4 linked regions of the Tribolium castaneum genome follow. The protein of the gene in region 3 purifies or fractionates together with the protein of the main gene of each other region. This does not show direct contact. Links are inferred from orthologs where the notes say so. Each region holds a gene or a part of one and is shown on either strand. Other genes may lie near its edges.

Region 1 (5,086 bases), on a different chromosome or scaffold from region 3:
AAGAAATATGGTTAGTTTTACGTAATTTAAACATTAAATCAGGAAAAAGAAACGACATAGTTTTATCAAACTTCAATGTGGATGATGCTAATAATAATAATTTTGTTGTTAGTATTTAGTCCGTCAGATAATTGTACTAATTCCACATTCTTGTTAGTAGCAAAAAATTAAATGTTAATAGTTGTTTTTGTCTTGTACTTGCTTGTATTGATGAAATACAACAGATAAATGATAATTTAAAATCTAATGCTTTTGGTGTTGATCTTCAGCAAATACAGGGTGTTAGCGAAATAAATGCATTCCTTTTAACCTGTGACAGTACACATCAAGGATAACAAAAAATCTTAGTAACATCCTTGCGAAATGAACGAGAGAAAAATACTCATTATTATTATTTTTTATTACCCACTGTCTTCTAATAAAAACAATTCACCACTAAAAAACAGTTGTTGGTACTAAACCATCCACCAAATTTGGAACCTAAGGGTGTAGCCGTTTTTGAGAAAAAAAGCTAAAACTATTTTTTTAGGCTAACTTTTGATGCGAATAACTCTGCAGGGGAGTTCTTTTTCGAAAAATTTTCTAAGAAAGACATTCCGTAAAATCACTTGTAGAACACGCTTTTGAAAGGAATGCATTTATTTCGCTAATACCCTGTATGTTGAAATGATTTTCACCTATTTTGACGAAATTTATTGCTCATATTGTTAACTGTAGCATTGAGGTTGGATATTATCCTGAAATGTGGAAAACCGCTTTAGTGCGTTCTCTACCAAAAATTAAAAATTCCAATGCATGCTCTGATTTGAGACCCTTTACAATGTTATCAAGATATCAAAAAATTACAGCCCTGGTAAAAATTCTTGATGATTGTTTTAAAGGTTTAGATAAAGATGAGGCGACTATTGTGACATTATTGTTGGATTTTTCCAAAACGTTTGACACCTTTTATGTGGAAAATTATCATTTTACGGTTTCGACGAAATTTCATCAATTTTTTTTTCATATCTGATAAATAGAAAGCAAATTGTTACTATAGGCATCTCACAATCAAGAGCAGGTAATATTACATCCGGTGTTCCACAAGGCTCAATTTTAGGACCGCTTCTATTATTTATTTACATCATAAGTATATTAGAATCCGTAAATTATGTAAATAGCCATCTCTTTGCAGATAATACGCAGTTTTATTATCATTTTTATCCTAATAATGTAGAACGGCTCACGATTTTATTAATAAAGGTTTAAATGAAGTTTTTTATTTTCTAAAAGCATTGACTTGAATTTATGCGAGCAAATGTTTGTCAATTTGTATTTCCATAAGAAACACAAAAATAAACTCAAAAATCAATCTCAAAATTATACAAATAGATGTCGCCAATAATTTTAAAAATCTTGGAACTATAACATTCGGAATTTCTATTTAGAGAATATTGAATTTTATTGAAATATTGTAATAAGATCTTACATTGTATTAAATATGTTATATTCCAACTGCAATATTTTGCGTTTTAAATTTCGAAAAAAACTGCGAATTATTGGTGCTTTCTGACCTTAACTATAGTCTTATTATTGAATTATCGTTTCAAATATCAACTAAAAAAAATATAAAATTCGTGTGCTCGTTTTATTTATAAGTTAAGAAAATTTGACCATGCATCTAAAAAAAAAAGAATTTGGTTGGTTGATGGTAGACCAAATTTTATAATTATTTTTTGTCACTGTTTATCTATAAAATGTTTGTTACAGCTTCACCACTATTTCATTCAAGAAAAAGTTGCTATCAAGTTTCTGTGCGTAATATTGTTGATCTCGTACATTATAATACAATAACGTTATCATTTGTTTAAAGAAAAACTTTCGGTGAACAATTTTCGCAATAAAATAAAAGCATATTTTTCCAATCTCTAGGTTTTTTCCAAAATTCTTATTGCTTTTTGTTGTTTTCTTCTTGTTTTATTTTTTTTTAATATGTGCAATTTTTGTAAATTTCATTTCGATTATTCGTTTATTTATTTATTTTTTTGTTTATGTACTTCTTAGATGATAAGCGGGTTAAGTTGGAATAGCAATTGCTAGACTTCGGCTCTCGAGTTGTATTTACAATTCAATAAAAACGTGTTATTATTATTATTGTTATTAACTTTTGCGCATTTTCTTCCAGTTCGCTCATTTGGTACTGAAGACAGGGAGACGCCTTACCCCGTCCCTGCCCAGAACCAAGTCTATGACTACATTTTATTCCGCGGCTCTGACATCAAAGATATTCGAGTTGTGAATAATGTTGCTCAACCTCTTAACGATCCGGCGATTATGCAGCTGTCGGTTCCTCCAACATTGGGACAGCAGCAGTTCCAGAACCATCCGATGATGGGGCACCCCCTGGGGCCCCAAATGGGACAATTTGCGTCGGGTTATGGAGCGATGGGTTCAATGGCAGGTCTGTCGAGTGGCATGGTACCGGGTATGGGTATGTCGAGAGATCCCAGAGGTCTCGCTGGTAATAAACCAAATGATTTAATTATACCGGGTACGGAACAACCACAAGTCCTATCTCCTGCAGTTGAACCGCCTCGACCAAGCGATCACGGTAACGTAATTTTTGACGGCTTCTTGCTTGATTTGCTGCCAAAGTTGTCGCTTATGCGTGCTTTTTATTGCAAGGAGTTAGGAAGTTGTTGTAGGAATTATTTAGTTTTATTTTGGACTTTTTCGGGGAATATGTGTTGTGTTTTGTTGCTTATTTTTTAGCGAGTTACATTGTTTTTTAAAGTTAGTTCTAAAAATTTGATCTGAACAAAAAATTTCAATTGTGTGACTAAACAAAAGTGTGGACAAGAGTGCCGTAAAAATTTTATTTTGTAAACGAATATCGTGAATAGTAACTTAAATTGTTATAGTGTGTTAAATTTGTCTCTTGAACACATTTTTATACCTCATTCTATTTTTGGTTGAAGGTGTCTGTGTTCTTTTTAATGGCACAAACTGTTGTCAGAAAATTTTATTAGTGATTTTAAAAAATTAAAATCAAGTTGTCCAATTTATTTTTGCTTTTTTGCGCATTGGGTACGTGTTTGAGTATAAAACTTGGGGGTTTTTGTTACACAGAGCTTATAAATGTTATTCCTCTTCGTGTTTTAGCACGTTTTTTTTTATTAGCTGAAAAATCAACTATTATGAGAGATTTTGTCAAAAATGAGTTGAACAATGACTCAATTTGCGTTGAAAATGGACTTAATTTATTGTATTGTTTATTTGACTTTTTTGATCTTTTGGAAACGTTATTGAATTAAAAGTTAAATAACATATTATGGATTTTTTGTGAGCATATCAACGTAAAATTTCTTAAAAATAAATCAATTTTAAAAATTGTATTATTTTTGTCTTGTCTATGAGCACATTACTCAACTGTAAACTCAAGCCTTCGTACGATTTTGATTAAACCGTTCCGAAAAATTACTAAATATAGTCGAAAAAACTCGAAAAGAACTTTATTTTTAGCGTTTTGCATCTGACTTTGTCAAAAACTTTTATCGATCGATTATTTGAATTTATAATTACAATAAGCTTTATCAGTTTTTTACTTGAATGGAAACGCCGATTGTGTTAATTAATCAAGCTTAAGGGTCAAATAATAAGGTTTCGAACGGTAATATTAATTTAGAATATATTTTTTCTCTCAGTTTGTGCTGGTTTTTCAATCATAAAGACACAAAATCGCCTACTCTAAGTATAAATTCAAATGATAGCATGGTATTACGAAAGAGTGAATCAAAAATGAACTGAAAATGTACAAAAGTGGCTTGTAAGTTGCGTTGTTTTTGCCTTTCGTAATTGTTTAAGCACATTTTTGAGCCAGAAACTTGGTTTCTTTGTGAGATTTTGTCGGACTGGGTTAAAAAAATCGCTAAATTACTTCTTTAATTACATAATTTTAACATATTTTGCTGGATTTAATTCGTTTTTCAACTTGAAACTTTGTTATTTTATGCAAAATAAACCATTTTATTCAATCGGTAGAAATTTTGTCTTTTTTTTAATGTTTTTATGCGAGATTTTTTTAAAATCATACCGAAAAATTACGTAATTCAGTCGAAAATGGCATAATTTTTGTCTTATTCGATAGTTTTAGCATGTGTCTTAACAGATTTTATTAAAAATAAGCTAAAAATTTACTAGTTTAGCTCGAAAATGGCATTATTTATGACCTTTTTGATCATTCAGGTATTTATCTACACTTTTAGCTAAAAAATTGTTTTGTGGGATTTTCCCGTACCGGTTAAAAAAATAATTCGTCAAAGATATATAAGTTTGCAAATTTTTGCATGTTTTATTCGCTTTAGTTCGTTTTCAACTGTAATCTCACTTATTTCATGAAAAATAACTTGAAAGTTGACCAGATTTATTAGTGAATGTGTGATCTTTGCTTTTTTTTAAAAGGAGCTATAGATCTAAAGATAAATAAATTTACAAAATTTTTAAGTTGTTAGATAGTTTTCTCCATGATAAACACTGTTATTATACCTGGCACAAATTAGCCGAAAGTTTACCAAAAAAGACCGGAGAAGCGTCATTTTTACGAGACTATTTTACTTAGTAAATCACATTTTTTTTCGAAATTCTCGTATGTCGTAAAAAATACGCCAAAAAGTTCTTTTTATATTTATCTATACAACATTTTTTATCATGTTTTGAACTCTCTTTTCGCAAAATTAAAGCTGCAATAATGTCTTTGTGAAATTTTGCTAAAACTGTACCAAACCATTGCTAAATTATTTTCAATATAACATATTGTTTTTATTTTTTATTCAGTCAGCAACGCATTTGTTTTTCAAAATTTAGGCAAAAATCAGCGGAAAAGTGCAATCTGTTTTCTTTTTTAAGTGTTTAAGCATCTTCTTATGTTAAAAACTTGGTTTCTTTATAAATAAGATGTTACCAAACTGATCAAAAAATTGCTAAATTATTTCGTAAATTACATTATTTTAGCATGTTTCGTTTGATTTAGTTTGAAGAAAAAGAAGCTATAAACTTACATTTTTCACGAAATTTTGCTAAAACTTGATAAATAATTGAATAAATTAGG
Region 2 (5,630 bases), on a different chromosome or scaffold from region 3:
ATTTTGTATACGATCCAAATCGACCATTGTGAGTTGAACTAAATTATTTTCAAAATGATTGAGCTACTCAGACTACGAGAAATTGGCGCCAACTTTGAAATTTTAAATAGTAACCACAATTTTATAGCATTTTTGAATTCAACTTCTCAAACTGAGGAAAATTTACCCAAGTTGTTAGTACTTATTTTATATAGTTTTTGAGATACCATGTTATTTTTTTTGTTAAAATTTTTATTTGCAAAGGTTTATCTAAAATATCACAGCCCTTGAATCCTTTGTGGTAATTGATATTTTTTTACATTTGATAACCGATGGTTTGAAGTCTTCTGGCATTTTCAAAATTATCAACTGTCAAAATTCAAGGCTGGTATGATTTTTTTAAAATGGTTATTAAAAAACGTTTATAACTCAGTTTTTTCAAATGGAACGACCTTATTTTCTTAATGGTAATCGAAAGAATATCGAGATCATGGTGACTTTTATTAACACATCCTATATCTATCTCTTACAGTTTTGAAATAATCACAAAAAACTGATTTTACTTAGTAATTTTCATCGTAATCAAGTAGGCCTTTCAAAATTGTCAACAAATGTCACACTTATCCTAAAGAGTTGAAGAGCTGTGCTATTTTGAATGAACCCTTGCAAATAAATGTTTGCCATAGATGTTTGCTTAAAAAAATTGACAAATATCAAAAAGTATGACAGATTGTTACTAAGAAATAGGGTACATTTTACTCCGTTTCAAAAGGCGAATACAAAAATGCTGTGAAATAAGACTATTTTAAAGGAAATTTAATTTTCTACAACTTTCTCCTTAAAATTTTTCTAGTTATTTTTAAACATTCCCCGCGTTATGAAAAATCTGAGTCAATACTTAAATTAAAAAAGAAAATCACATGTTTCTAGTGAAAATTTTTATATCTCATTTCGGCTTCTAATCTACAGTTCTTCTTAGTTGGGGCGAACTTCCCTACACCTCAAACTTTTATTTAAACAACTATTTCTTTAAATTAATTATGTAATAAAGATGTAGCGAAATCGCCGTCCGTTGCATTGAGCTCCTGGTCCGCCACTCCTCCTTACTCCGGCCCATATCACAAGGGGGGCGCGTGCGACTCCAGTCCGACTACCTCCATCTCGAAGGCGCCCTCAGGGTGATTTGCCCCCATTTGAGCGATTTGGGGCGTCCTTATCGTTTACTAAAATCCATGGCGTCTCTTGTCACCCTAACTCCAGAGGAAATCGTCGCAAGTCAAGCTTCTGAAAGCTCAGTGCCTCACAGTACCGTTTTACTTTTATTATTTTCATTTGCCGGAAGTGAATTGGCGAGTCCGCACCAAAACACAGCGTGGTCACTTCCGAAATTATCGGCCTGGTTGGATGAGCACCCTTCGGAATCGGATCGGTTGGATTTGATCGTGGGAGCCCTCCAAAAGTACGAAAATCTAGTGAGGCAGAAAAATTCCGTTAATTATGACCCGGTTTATCCGATCATGTCTACGTTTTTGGAAAATGCGGTTAAAACGGTTAAATAAATATTTTGTTAAACTTTGATTTTGTTTTCCTGATTACGGTCCTGTATTCAATTGCTTGGCAACGGCCCTCTAGTGGCGCCACTACCAACGAAAAATAATAGCGTGGTTGTTAGCCACTAGGCGACGCTTTGGGGCATGCGCATTGCTGGGTGAAATTTTGCGTAATTGCGACATATGTGATGCGGGGAGCATGTGTGTGAGAAAGAGAGGATCGATAATGAGCGTGTCCGTGATTGATTCAGCGAGTTTATTTAATGTTGAAAAAATTGAGCATCGACAAGATCTTCAACAACTGTGAAAGGCAGGAAGGAGGAAGGAAGAACATCGTGGAAAGAGGAGTTTAACATCAGCCAACCGGCCCTTTTACCATCATGGCTGAAGCTGAACAGCAGCAACAACAACCAACAGCGGAACCGCCGAAAGTCAACAAACAGAAGGAAGTGATCGGTGAGTAAATTGCGTTTGCGGGGTTTTTGTGTGGGCCCGGCGTCCATCTTCTCTGCACCGAGCACATGGCCGGTTTTCCGCTGAGTGGGGCCGTGAAAAGCGCTTTTCGCGAATGTCTGACAGTTTTCCACCGCTTTGACTGTAGTTTTCCCGACGCGGTTGTCATTTGTTTGAGAGGAGCCCACTTTGCGCTATTCGGGATGCAGGCCGCCATTGTGAGGACGCGCTTATTATCCTCCGAGTGGAACGAAAGTGGTTAATTGAGGAGGAAAAGGGGCTTTTTGTCAAATTGGGGACCATTCGGGACGCAATTTATTTATAAATGTAGGCGTCACGTGGAAGCGGCCCGGCGTTTTGACTTTTTTGGCGGCGTCACGATTATTTTTAGATAATTCTCACGATTTTCTCGTAACGGAGGTAAAAAACCGAAAGCATTGGCCGGTTCAAGGCTGAGAGCTTGAGAGAATAAAAAATCGCGAAATTGCAACAAAAAATCAAAACCAGTCAAATCAAACCAAGTTTTTGTGTCATTTTATGCCTTATCTAGTTGGCCTGACTACCTTTTCGGGCTTTCCGAATTTCTCTCTTATCCAGTTTTTTGACTTGTCAAAAAAGAAATTATTTTTAAGAAATTACTAGAAATGTTTTTTATCGCTCCTACTAGTTAACGACGTCAAAAAAAGAAAAATCTTGTCTGTAAAATGGTCTGATTAATTGAAAAATTTCCTCTAAAATCATTTTGTTAATTTATGTTTTTTTTCAGCTAGCAAAGTAACAGGGACTGTGAAATGGTTCAATGTGAAGAGCGGTTACGGCTTCATCAACCGAAACGACACCAAGGAGGATGTTTTTGTACACCAAGTGAGTGAAAAATTTGTTTTTCAAATCTTATCACATGTACAAATTAATATGCAGTTAAATTGCTTTGTTGCGATTTTTTCTTATCGGTTCAATTTTGTATGCAAGCATTTGTCAAGGTTTCTTGACAATTTTATTCAAATCACATGATAAGTAAAATTGATTGATTTTGCACGCTCCATAGATCCATCTCTGGTTTTCTAAAGAGATGCTTGAGTCATTGGTGTGCTAAAGTACTGTACCTCCAAAATTTCAATAAAAATGGTGCTGATCAAATGATTGCATTGGACTGGATTTTGGGGAACAGTTTATTATATTAATATTATTGTATTATCTCTTGGGGCTGTGATAATATTTATCACAGCATCCTGCTTATTGTTATTGCTTTTTTGACATTTATCGTTAGATAATAGGTTTTTTAAAATTTTGTTTTTATGTAAACAAAAACAAGTTGGTTTTGACTTGGGTATCAGTTTAGTTTTAATTCTTTTTGATTAAAATTTGTCAGTCTTTTGTGTAAGATTAGTTTTTATGGTTGTAGTAAAATTTATTGCTCGAATTTAATGTGTTTCGTTCGTCGATAAATTAATTATGTTGCCGTAGATTACAAAATTGTATTATTCGAATTGATTAAAAAAAGTTGTGACGTCACGGGAATGCACTGGTACTTTATAACAATATTTGAAGGATATTTTAAAATTAATGATTCATTAATTTTTGTAGGAAGTTCGTTATTGTTATCCTGATATCACATAATTTGACTTGTAAATTGGAACATTTTTTGAAACCTCTTATTTCCCAATTTCTAGCAAAACTCATGAAGAGGGCGCTCAAAAATTGGTGCATCAAATCAGTGATACGTTGATTAGCATTGAGAAAAATTGTAAAGTCTATTTATTGAGTTCACATTTTTGTTAATGTTTTCATATTTCATAGTTAATAAGCCGTATGAATAAAATTGAAGTATGATTATAATGCAAAAGCAAATATTTGAAGTAAAAAGTAAAAACATTTGATTAGTTTGAATAAGCTTTTACTTTGAAGTCAGTGCTTTAGTTTTATTATGTAATGAATTTTCTTACTCTTAGTTGTACAACATCCTCCATCGTTTAGAGTTTGGTATGTTACTTTAAACAGGTGATGCTCGTACTGATTAGTATCAACAATTTTGAAGTAAATTTTTAATGAAAATAGCATTTACTGTATATTATTAACTTTGTTTGGTAAAAAAATGAGTAAAACTTTGATGTTAGAGTAAATACTCGTACAGGGTGCTATTAGTTGTATTAAAAGCTAATAATGAAATTTTTATTCATACATTTTAGAGTATTTTCTCGCAAAAATTTAAGCAAAAGCATTTACTCAATTTTATTCATACGGTCCAACACCTTTTCGTGACATACTTAATAACAAATTTTGTTTTTAAATTTAGTATTAATCTTACAGATTTTTGATAAAAAAAGTAAATTTTATCACAAAATTAAAATTTGTAGATGCAGCAACACTGTGTGTGGTGATCTCGATAATTTATTATTGTTCATTGCTTATTTCCAAGGACATCTGAACCAAGGTTCCAAAAATAAATTCACTTTTATTCTTAATATTCTATTGCTATCAGGATTGTTAGACAACGTTGCCACATATCATTTACATACTTAAAAAATTCATTATAAATTTTAATACACAGGGTGGTACATGGATTTTTTGCTAACTATAATTATCTCTTTATCTGTATAAGCATTTTTTTTACCATATACCATTAAGTTGTTTTATGGTCCCCTGTATTTCTATGCTACAACACTTATCTAATAGTTATTTAACGAATGTTCAATATTTAAAGTGTCCAGATTGGTAATCGCCGATTGACAGACTAATTATTTACAATGCTTTGATGGAATTTAAATTTATTTTCTGTTGTGCTTAAAATTGTGGCCACTATTTGCCATCATAGCATTTATATTTGCAAAAGTGAGCTCAATTTTTGAAAACAAGAGTAGAAAAGGCCAGTTTTTCAGTCATTGAAGAAATGGACTTTTTTCGACAATTATAAATCTCTTGGTAGGTAAAAACTGAGCTTCGTTGTATAAATATAGCGATTTTTTTTTTTAATAAATCAATTGATTTATTAGACTGTTTAAAATTTATATTGAAACAGTTAAGAATTCTATTCATGAACAATTTACTCTATTTTCTTATTTTCATCGTTAAAAACTTCAAACAATTCTTCCTGTAAGTAATAAAGATAGTTCATACGTCTCAGGTTCATAAATCACGAGGTTTTTTTAACTTTGTTGTGTTGCTATTCTTATTTTTAAATTAACCATTCATTAGTTCTAGTTTCGTCATTCGTCTTAAAATAAATTCTGCCTATTCATTATTTTACCATTATTTATTGTTATATTATTAATCATATGTAAAATTGTACGGCCAAATTATTTTCTTGCGAAATTATTTTTTTAATTGAGGAAAAATATTCCTGGTTTAATTAGGAAATAAATGATTGGCGCCCTTGACGCGTTTTGATTTTGTTATTGAAATTTTTCAGTCGGCCATCATCAAGAACAACCCGAAGAAAGCCGTCCGTTCGGTTGGCGACGGTGAAATCGTCGAATTTAGCGTCGTCGTCGGCGAGAAGGGTAACGAGGCCGCCAATGTGACGGGCCCCAACGGCGAACCCGTGCGTGGTTCCCCTTACGCGGCCGATCGTCGTCGAGGCTACCGCCAATGGTACTACACCCGGGGCCGTGGCGGTCCCCGTCCCCGACGCGGTCCACCACGTGAGAGTCA
Region 3 (5,805 bases):
TGTTTAGGAACACGTGACGCGCGTCCTGAATTGTAAGAATGAACTTGTAAGTGATTTGGTTTTCGTAACGGGCGAGGTCTAGCGATGTGAATTGTAGATTTTGCAAATCCGCGCTCGTCACACTAGCGTCTGAGTCAAGAGTCAGAGTTGTGAGATCGGACGAAAGCGTGCAGTTTTTGTCAATGTCGTCGGTGTGATTCAGCAGTCGTTCCTTAGACTTGGATAGGAGAAGTAAGCCGTATTTGGCCCAACATCGCGCAATATCGGCCGACCGGTGCTTGAAAACTTCCATCTTGGCGTCAAAAGCCTCATTTCTTTCGGTGATAGCGTCCAGGGTTTTCGCATACTCGTCCAAAATGAGCGAGCTGGCAGCCAAGTGATGTCTCGCTTGTTTGAAACCGTTCTGTTCCATGAGAAACTGGGACAGTGTAGCGGCGTTCAAAGCCCAGTCTATGGACTCATAGTCACCACTATCCAACTGTCTTTGTAAAGTGTTGTGGCAGTAAACTGCACTTTTTAATGCGTCTTTCAACGCCCCGTATATTTGGGCCAAGTAGTACACTGTCAAAGTGTAAACTTTCTCAAAGTTAATCCAAGCCGTTTCAATGTCGTTTAGTTCGAAGTTTGGGTTAAACAAGTCTTTTATGTCAACTGGTGGTACGTTCGATTTCTTGTAAGTCGCGTACAACCGTTCAGCCTTTTCGAGGTAAGTTTTAGACTTTTCTGGCTCTCTTTGCGACCACAAAATCCCAAACTGGTTGTACATATTCAATGTTACCATAACCACTTGGGGCTCCTCTGTGCAATCCTTTATCAGGTCTTCACACTTTGCCAAATAGCCCTCCCCAGTCGATAATTCCTCAGTGGCAATTGAAGTCATACCAAGATACAGGTACACACTTCCCAACATTGCTAAAATTATCACCTTCAGGCAAATTTACAACAATGTGGCACCACCTGTTAGTTTTATCTTGTCATTGTCTGGCTGAGTTTCTATCACATTTTCTAGACTCGCTTTCATGCTGACTAGGGTCTCGCTGGCCGCATATTTCGACACGAAAGGCTGATTTTCAGGGTCGTATTTACTGTCCTCGAGTAACTTAAGGACCTTATTGAATTTTTCCTCTAAATCGACAAAAACCTCCTTGCTTGCAGTCATGACGTATACTGAAAATTATTGCAAAATGTAACTCTCCAAAAATGCGGCAATACAGTTATTACCGAAATCTCAATTTTTTGCTAAAATTCTGTTTATTTGTTATTAAAATGACCGACAAATTGTAGGTTAAATAGCTGTCAAATCATGGATGAAAAAGGTGGTGCCAGGGTGGTGAAACCTAAATGCACCAAGCCAAGTATAGGCGCCAAATTCAAAATCGACTGTAGTTCGGCTTGCTATCGCAGATGTCGCACACACGTATAGTCAATTTTAGCGAAGCTACCTATAATATCGGCAGAAATTAACAGTGGACCTGTGACAGTTGCCATTGTGTAAATCGCCATTTTGTGCTTGGTTTGTTTGGTGTTCGCCTTCGGCTTTGTTTTATGTGAAATTAGTACTGTTTTGTGGTTTTTTTCGTGTGTGTGCTTTTTTGAACTTTTTTATTGTGGGAATATAAATAATTTGATGGATCAATCATTAGTTTATAGTTATCGTATCGTGTATATTGACTAGTGATAATAAATTTTTATTACAAGTTTATTGTCTTTATTTATTCTCATATTTTATTTTTCGTATTCTTTGTAAATATTCAGCAACAATAGTTGTCTAACATCAGAAAGTGTTATTAGCAACTATTGTTGTGAATATTTACAAACAATACGAAAAATGCAATCAAACTTTAAAAGAAAAGTAACTACGGGCAATTCAAATCGCCCGCCGATAACGCTTAGTACGCGCTGGCAACAATAGATGTGCTAGTGACACTTTCGCTCTATCGGGACAAGGACAGATGCGTTTCTGTAAAACCTGTTATTCTGTGGGTGGTGCCAGAGAACAAGGTGGTGCTGTGGGTGGTGAGAAGAGAACAAGGTGGTGCGCGCAATTTGAACGCTTTTTTGTGAGCTTTTTACATGAGTGGTTACTTAATTTTATTATGGTTGAAGGAGACGGACCCTATCAGGGGCGCTTTGTTATCACTGCCATAAAAAAATTGTATTTTTTGGCCAAAAATTTCAAAAATTCTTTGATTTTTTCCGATTGTTTCTCGCGCCATCTCACGGGTTGTCCTTTGGTTAGCGGAGCATCCTGGCATTGCAGATTCGCGGCCATTGTTAATTGCTGAAAGTCATTTTCCTTTTGGTGAGTAAAGCGTCCATATCAGTGGTAAAAGTTATTCGAAAAGAGCGATTTGATGCAAAAATCACACATTATGAGCAATGTCTGAGTATTTCCCAGGGTGTCTCGACGGTATTCCTTAAATTCTTTGTCCAGAATCAGGTAAATTTGCGTCGTTGTGCAATAATTTATGTGTAGTCGACGGTGCACTGTACACAAGAATCAGTAGCCATTTTAATTAGAAATCTGAATCCTGTTTATTTGTTGCAATCGTCGAACTTTTGGCCGTTTTTGAGGGTTTTATTTCCGTATCGCCAGTGAATGTTCATGACCTGGCTATTATTGACACTGCAACAATTACGGGATGTTCTATTTTTGTGGTTATATCTATTCCGTATTGACCTTAAATTTTCTGCGTCATTGATGTTTAAACTGGGATTTTGCAGATTATTATCGTTCCTGTGAGGGATCTTAGGAACTGTACTTATCCTACACATTGTAGAGGAAGAAGATTTGGGTTTTATAAACCCTATTTTTTAATACACTTGCAATAGTATTTTCTACAATTATGATGACGGACACATTGAATTCGAACCATGTGATGGCTTTGTCAGGCAAAGTGTAAGTTGTTTGCTTATCATTAAGAATGTGCGGTGACGAACCGCTTCCTTGCAGTGATATTGACACCAAAATGGATGACATGGGATGGAAAGCCAAACTGAAGATTCCACCCAAGGATAGGAGAATACAGACCAGTGTAAGTTAAAACTCACTGCTTTGTACGTTCACGGTCACTTGGAAGGCTTTGGGTCACTTGCATGTCTAAACCGGGAATAATATTCAAAGCTTTCCATTATTAACATGATGACACTATGGATTCCCCTTCATTTTTCTTATAAATGATAACGTCTTGCCTGATTTCATGCATTTCTTTCACCATTCGTGCAAAAAAGGTGTTACCGTTATTTTATCAAGTATTTGTTACTAGGATGTGACTGATACCAGGGGAAATGAATTTGAAGAATTCTGCTTGAAGAGAGAATTATTAATGGGTATTTTTGAAAAAGGGTGGGAGAAACCGTCTCCTATCCAAGAAGCTTCTATTCCAATTGCGTTATCTGGCAAGGATATTCTTGCAAGGGCAAAAAATGGCACAGGTATGTTTTTTACTCAATGTTTAGTGCATATTTAGTAAGCCTGTTCTGTTACTCAATAATTGGATGGGGGGACAAATATGCAAAACTAATGGCTTGATTTTTGCTAATAGTCATATTTATTTTTGAATATGACGCAAAAAATCACATACAGTAATTTGCGCTTATGAAATACCAGCTCGAATAAGTGGGCGCTATAAATCAGTCAAGCTACTTTATTTGGTAATTTAGTTCGCAGAATTGAGCTTTTTTGTACAAAATTTTTTTAACAATCAAGTCAATAATAAAACGTTCTCTTTTTTGTAATTCTGATTGTACTTTCTTAATTTACTAATTTACTTGTGATGTCAAAAAATACGTGTTATTATTAAACTGTCCTATTCTAAAAAACACGCGATGTAAAAAATTAATTTGTGTTTTTTTTTATATTTTCTTTCACTACATAAGCGGTAGTTCGAACCGAGACACAGACAAACACCAGAAATGTTAAAATCATCGTTATTTGTTCACTGCCTATTGTAAATTGGGTGACCTTGTTTACTTGTATTCGTTATGTACTCGAAATACATTACCTCTCTAGCTCACTTGTGTTTGTTTGCTTATCTTTTTTGGATGTAATACTGTTTATTGCATTTATCATTATACATATATCATATCAGATATACCAAAAACTGGAAATTAGTTACAAATCAATATTTTTATAATAAAAAAAGACAAAGAAGAGGGCCAAACTTTTACAGACATAATCTAAAAATTGGCTGTCAATTATTGAATGCTTTGGTCTTCAGGTAAAACCGGTGCGTACAGTATTCCCGTGTTGGAACAGATCGATCCCAAGAAAGACTGCATTCAAGCACTGATCATAGTGCCTACACGAGAGCTCGCGCTTCAAACGTCACAAATTTGCATTGAGCTCGCTAAGCACTTGGACGTGCGCGTGATGGTAACGACCGGTGGAACAAATTTAAGAGATGACATAATGCGCATCTACCAGAAAGTACAAGTTATTATAGCAACGCCTGGCCGCATCCTCGATCTGATGGAAAAGGGTGTCGCCGTAATGGACCAGTGCAAGATTCTAGTTTTAGACGAAGCCGACAAGCTTCTCTCACAAGACTTCAAGGGGATGCTCGACACTGTGATAAAGAACTTACCGCAAGAGAGACAAATACTGTTGTTCTCCGCCACGTTTCCTCTCACAGTTGAGCAGTTTATGCGAAAACATCTCCGAGATCCGTACGAGATCAATCTCATGGAGGAGCTCACTCTTAAAGGTGTCACGCAATACTATGCGTTCGTTCAAGAACGTCAGAAAGTACACTGTTTAAATACTCTGTTTTCAAAGGTTGGGCTCTTGGTATTTTGGTTTATTTTTTCTGACAGTTTTTTTCTAGTTACAAATAAACCAAAGCATAATATTCTGCAATTCCACGCAACGTGTCGAATTGTTGGCGAAGAAAATCACCGAACTTGGTTATTGCTGCTACTACATTCACGCCAAGATGGCTCAAGCGCATCGCAACAGAGTATTCCATGATTTTCGAGCTGGTCTCTGCCGAAATCTAGTCTGTTCTGATCTGTTTACAAGAGGTATCGATGTGCAAGCCGTCAACGTCGTCATCAATTTCGACTTCCCGAAAATGGCAGAGACGTATCTGCACCGTATCGGTAGATCTGGAAGATTTGGGCACTTGGGCATTGCCATCAACTTGATTACTTACGATGATCGATTCGCGCTTCATCGCATTGAACAAGAGTTGGGAACGGAGATCAAGCCGATCCCGAAAGTGATCGATCCCAAGTTGTACGTGGCCAAGTTAATAGACGACGAAGATACTCCAGAAGACAACGCCAAGTAACGCGGTGTGTTACGAAATATCACTGATAACTGTAAATATTAAACAACGTACTTTCCGAAGAATTAAATTTCTGTTGAAGACTTTTTTATACTAAAAAAGGGTGATATACTGATTTATTTAAGAGATTCTGCACTACTACGTAACTTATCACAGTGATTCTACATTTGGGGCCTAAGCTTTAAATCGCATAAGTTGTTACCCGTGTGCATTTAAAGCTGCAAAATTCTACAGTCACTATTTTACAACGCCATGAAATTCGTTACTTACCATCCGAATCTCCGCGAATTTGATGGCCGCGTAAAACCGCACTGTGATACGTTCGAGTCGTCGGTGCAGATCTAGTTCTTAAACTATAAGTTGAACAGTGTGAACTTTGATAGTGAAAAACTAAAATGTGTTAAAACTGAGAAAAGACTCCTAAGTGTGCTAATAATGTGACTTGGGTTCAGGGAACGAGAAGAAAGAAGAGGAGTGATAGTGCTCCAACAATTTTTCCGAGGAGATTCTTATTACG
Region 4 (4,190 bases), on a different chromosome or scaffold from region 3:
AAGAAATCAGAGTTGAAATTTAGATAATTAATTTGAAACAAAATCACAGGAAGACTGAAGAATCTATCGATGAGTTTAGGTAAGATTTAAAAAAGTTTATCTGAAAAAAAATATAAAAAATTACAAAAGAATCTAAAATCTACAGAAGAATTTTAAAGAGAAAATAATTTAGAGAAGAATTTTGAGAGCAGATAAAAGAGTTTTTAAAAGAAAAAGGTAAAAAGTATAAAAGAAATTTTGAAAAAAAATCTAGGGGAATTTAGTTCTTCAGAGGAGTTTCAAAGGTAAGTTTATTAGCGTTTAAAAACAGAAAACAAGAAAAAAGAATTTAAAGAAGAAAGAAATGTAAAAAAGCAGAGCACAGAGAGAGAAAACAGTTTAACTAGAACAAAATTAAAGTAAATATTTTGGGAAGCCTTAAGGAAAAAATCTGAGTAAAAGAAAATCTATAAAAGAATGTGTAAACAAATAATGAAAGAAAAATAATTTAACCGAAAATCTGTTAAGAATTTAAAGAGGATTTAGACGAAAGTCTAGAGAAGAATTAAAATAGAAATTTAGAGGTGAGTCTAAATGGAATCCAGAGAAGAATTTAAAAAAAAGAAACAAAATAATTTTAAGAAAATTTTAACGAAGATTTTACCGATACCTCGATTTAAAATAAATATCTCGAATAATTGCCCGGATTTCTTCAAATTACTCTTCACTTTAAAGAAATAATACAGATAAAAAATAAAAAAAAGAAAAAGGCGAACAGTTTATAAAAAAAAACGTGGAAAAGAATCTTGAAAAAAATCTATAGGAGCATTTAATAATAAGAAATAATAAATAAAATGATAAAAAAATACGTATTTAGAGAAGAAACTAGGATTTAAGTAAAATTGAAAGAAGAATTTTAAAACAAACAAAAGAAAAGAAACAATAATATAATATTAATAATTGAGTTAGGTAAGAAAATTAATATTTTAAACATAAATCAGCCACATTTTTAATAAACTGGTAATCTAAAGAAGATTTCGGCAGAAAATTTAAAGAAAACCTTGCGTAATTGTTTTTATTTTGTAGTATATCGAAAAAACAGTAAAACGGTTTAAAATCTCATGATTATTTTAGTGTGGGTCGGTCACTGCCCCTCGAAAAATCATCGACATGGACATAGTAACCCCCGACAAGGACTCCGACAGCCCCGTCGTGGTCCGAGACACGCGTAAAACCAAGCAACTCCTCCTTGAACTCGAAGCTCTCTTCACGCTCCTCCTCAAAGCCGAAGACCTACGTAACCCTCTCGCAATCAGCAACATGGAAAAACTGCACGAAATCAAACAAAAACAACGTTTACGTGAGCTAGATTTAGCCCCAACACCCGAACAAAAACAAGAAGTTTTGAAACTTTTAAAGCAAGACAGCGAACCAGTTGTCGAAAATCCGCACGATTATATCGTGAAAATCGTCAACGGTTTGCTGCAGGAAGACAAATTTGCCAGTTTTTTGAACATAAGAAAAGGGAAAATGTTGCTGTTGAGGCTTTTGCCACATTTGACTATGGACGGTTTTTCCGCCCAGTTGTTGGAGATTTGGACGCGGATTTTGTTGAGTATTGCCATTGTTGGGAGGAGAGATACGGCAGGCGATCACATTTTGCCCAAGTTGCATCCGTTTTTCAAGAGGTACATACAGACTAGTACGATGGGTGATATCTTGGAAATTGTGACGGGATTGGTTGAGGTCATCAGGCAGGAGAACAGCAGAAGCACGCCGTTGAGTCACCAAGGCAAAGCGCCGCTTTATTTCGTCCTCTTGAATAAAGTAAGCCACGTTTTTTCGCTTGTTTTTACCTCAAAACTAGGTTTTTCAATGTGGCGGACCGCAGACTAAACAAATTTTTTTTCCAGACTTTTACATTTTTTGAAAGTGTGAAGTGTTTTTTAAGGGAAATTATGTTCGTAAATCGTGCAAAAATCTGAAATTTTTTGTCGAAGTATCAGTTCTTACATAGGGCCGACCGCAGACTAAACACCTTGCCGCTGTTTTATATCTTGTTAAGTTTTAAACTTTGCTGTTTAAATTAGAAAGTCATTTTTAATTAAAAAAACTACTTTCAATTAAAGAGTGATTACTGAATATATCGTTATGTAAAAATGATCAAGTGTGCGAAAAGTAGGAAGTGATAATTGTCAGTGTTCCTTTAATGTTTGACACACCATTTGCGTGGTATTGCGATTTTTGTGCCTCCATATTTGTAGCCACAAGTGGGCGTGTTGTGTAATTGTTTTTTTTCCAGTTTGGTGTCTCTGCACTGGTGACGATGTTGATACGAACCGAATACCTGATTTCGTCCGAGACAGCGAGCGAGAAACAACAGAACGACTGGTCCAATTTTCTAGTGAGCTGGGCCGACCTGACAGGAGTGGTCAGTAAAGTGGCGACACCTATCGAGCCCGTTCCGATTCAGATTTTCACCAAGCATTGCAACCGCTTCGAGAATCTAACACCCGATAAGAAAATGCAGTTGGAGAAGCACTTTGTCGACTCCAACTGATCAATCTACTAATCCATATATTTTTACTTTTTATGTTTTTAGATAGGCGTCAAGAACTGTAAAAAAGGTGTACAACTTATTTTATTGTTTTTATATATGAAAGAGAGAAGTTAGATGTTGAAATTTGTTATTTGTAACAACTCTTGATTGTTGGTTGTAGCTTTTTAATTATGTGTAATTCAATTAATTATTTTTGTATATTAAATTAGTAATTTATTGGATTTGTTATGGAAATTGCACGACTCGCATCCACCGCTTTGATTTTATTGTGACGTATCCGAAATTCGTTATCGTGAGTTTGCCAATTGAGCGGCCGATGCTGGTTCATTAATTGGGCTAATGCAAAATATTTGTTTTCAATTGCATTAGTTGGAATTAACTTTAGACAATTAAGTAAATTTAACAGAACCGTTTATTTTCCAGATATCTAAATATGTTTGAAAGATATCATGCTTTTTCAATAGATAGTGAATGTCAAACGGATATATGTTAATAAAAAGTTTGACCCAACTGTTGTTTGAATTTCCCGCCCGCGCCGCGGCGCCCTCTAGCGACGCCACCGCGCCAGTGACAGCCGCGACATTGTCATAACCAAGAAATTAATAAAACATTACAGAAAAAACGCGAATTTAATGAAAATTGTGTGTTTTCGGCGACGATTAGGCCACGACGAGCGACTTTATCTCGACATTTGGGGTAAGTGCTATTTTTAGCGCGCTTATCAGTTGAAAAATGGTGTGGGTGTCAAAATGCATACAAATGGTTATTTTTAGCTTTATTTATTTTCGTTTTCTTGTTATTACCCTTCGGGGCTCTTCTTCCGGTCGTTCCGAGTCAATTTGCGCGATTGGATTAATTAATCTTTTAATGGCAAATTTTTGGCCGTAAACTGTCCTTTTACATTGGCCTATGAGTCAGTGTTGACCTTAAAAGTCCAATTTATCCTCTCGTTAATTCGTGAATTTGTTTTCTTGGCTTCCGCGGCCCAGCTGATGTGACTCATCGAGCGAAATTCGATGAAATCGTAATTGTTTTCCCGGCCTTTGGGGCGTTATTTTGAGGAAACTGGCTGTGTGATGTAATAATGTGGGTTGGAGTAATTACACAATTTGCGGGCTGTGTCTAATGAGACAAATTCAGCCGCTAATTAATTGAGTGCTTGAGGTGCTGCCAAATAAAGACTTGTCGCGGTTTGGTGTTGTTGTTGCACAATTTGGATTAGATAAGTGCGTTCAAACACCCTGTATGAGGTTGAAAAGTGCACGACATGTGCACAGGCGGCAACATCTGGCGGCCAAATACTCGCTGAAATTGTTTTTTGCAATTTTGTCGCGATAATTATACGAATATGTGACACAATCGTATTTATTGCTTTAGCAGTTAGTTACGATAAGGATGTTACAACTGTTCAATGTACGATAAATTGTTTGGCGAATTTTGACAAAGAAATTTATTTTTAAATTGTTTTGTATTCATCGATGATTGTTCTTGGAATTAAAATGAGGTGTGATGTTATTTTAACAACGTGGAACGGTTTATATATAAAGTTTGGCGACTGACTTTTTTCAAAAATAAAATTCAAAAATTCGAGTTTTTTTTATATTATTTTGTTTGTTTTAAATACTACTTTTTTAAAAGATTGCGAAATCTA

The links.
Region 1: the proteins of me31B (region 3) and tral purify together in Drosophila melanogaster (affinity purification with western blotting; 6 studies listed by BioGRID, with this or other methods). This does not show direct contact. The link is inferred for Tribolium castaneum from reciprocal best matches to the Drosophila melanogaster genes me31B and tral.
Region 2: the proteins of me31B (region 3) and yps purify together in Drosophila melanogaster (affinity purification with western blotting; 3 studies listed by BioGRID, with this or other methods). This does not show direct contact. The link is inferred for Tribolium castaneum from reciprocal best matches to the Drosophila melanogaster genes me31B and yps.
Region 4: the proteins of me31B (region 3) and Patr-1 purify together in Drosophila melanogaster (affinity purification with western blotting; 5 studies listed by BioGRID). This does not show direct contact. The link is inferred for Tribolium castaneum from reciprocal best matches to the Drosophila melanogaster genes me31B and Patr-1.

Annotation. Positions count from the first base shown.
Region 1 is NC_087394.1:10,182,324-10,187,409, forward strand, and holds part of tral (protein LSM14 homolog B), read left to right. Parts: intron 1-2,164; coding exon 2,165-2,590; intron 2,591-5,086.
Region 2 is NC_087398.1:13,289,505-13,295,134, forward strand, and holds the start of yps (Y-box factor homolog), read left to right. Parts: upstream 1-1,796; 5' UTR 1,797-1,909; coding exon 1,910-1,985; intron 1,986-2,748; coding exon 2,749-2,846; intron 2,847-3,013; exon of another isoform or gene 3,014-3,150; intron 3,151-5,388; coding exon 5,389-5,630. Other genes in the region: fws (conserved oligomeric Golgi complex subunit 5), read left to right, coding at 1,031-1,538.
Region 3 is NC_087402.1:3,102,635-3,108,439, forward strand, and holds the start of me31B (ATP-dependent RNA helicase me31b), read left to right. Parts: upstream 1-2,167; 5' UTR 2,168-2,302; exon of another isoform or gene 2,303-2,440; intron 2,441-2,724; 5' UTR 2,725-2,846; coding exon 2,847-2,899; intron 2,900-2,953; coding exon 2,954-3,035; intron 3,036-3,266; coding exon 3,267-3,435; intron 3,436-4,220; coding exon 4,221-4,777; intron 4,778-4,826; coding exon 4,827-5,291; 3' UTR 5,292-5,805. Other genes in the region: KIF-binding protein, read right to left, coding at 1-912, 958-1,159. UniProt on the Drosophila melanogaster protein: ATP-dependent RNA helicase which is a core component of a variety of ribonucleoprotein complexes (RNPs) that play critical roles in translational repression and mRNA decapping during embryogenesis, oogenesis, neurogenesis and neurotransmission.
Region 4 is NC_087401.1:15,388,855-15,393,044, forward strand, and holds the end of Patr-1 (protein PAT1 homolog 1), read left to right. Parts: intron 1-1,113; coding exon 1,114-1,806; intron 1,807-2,281; coding exon 2,282-2,539; 3' UTR 2,540-3,049; downstream 3,050-4,190.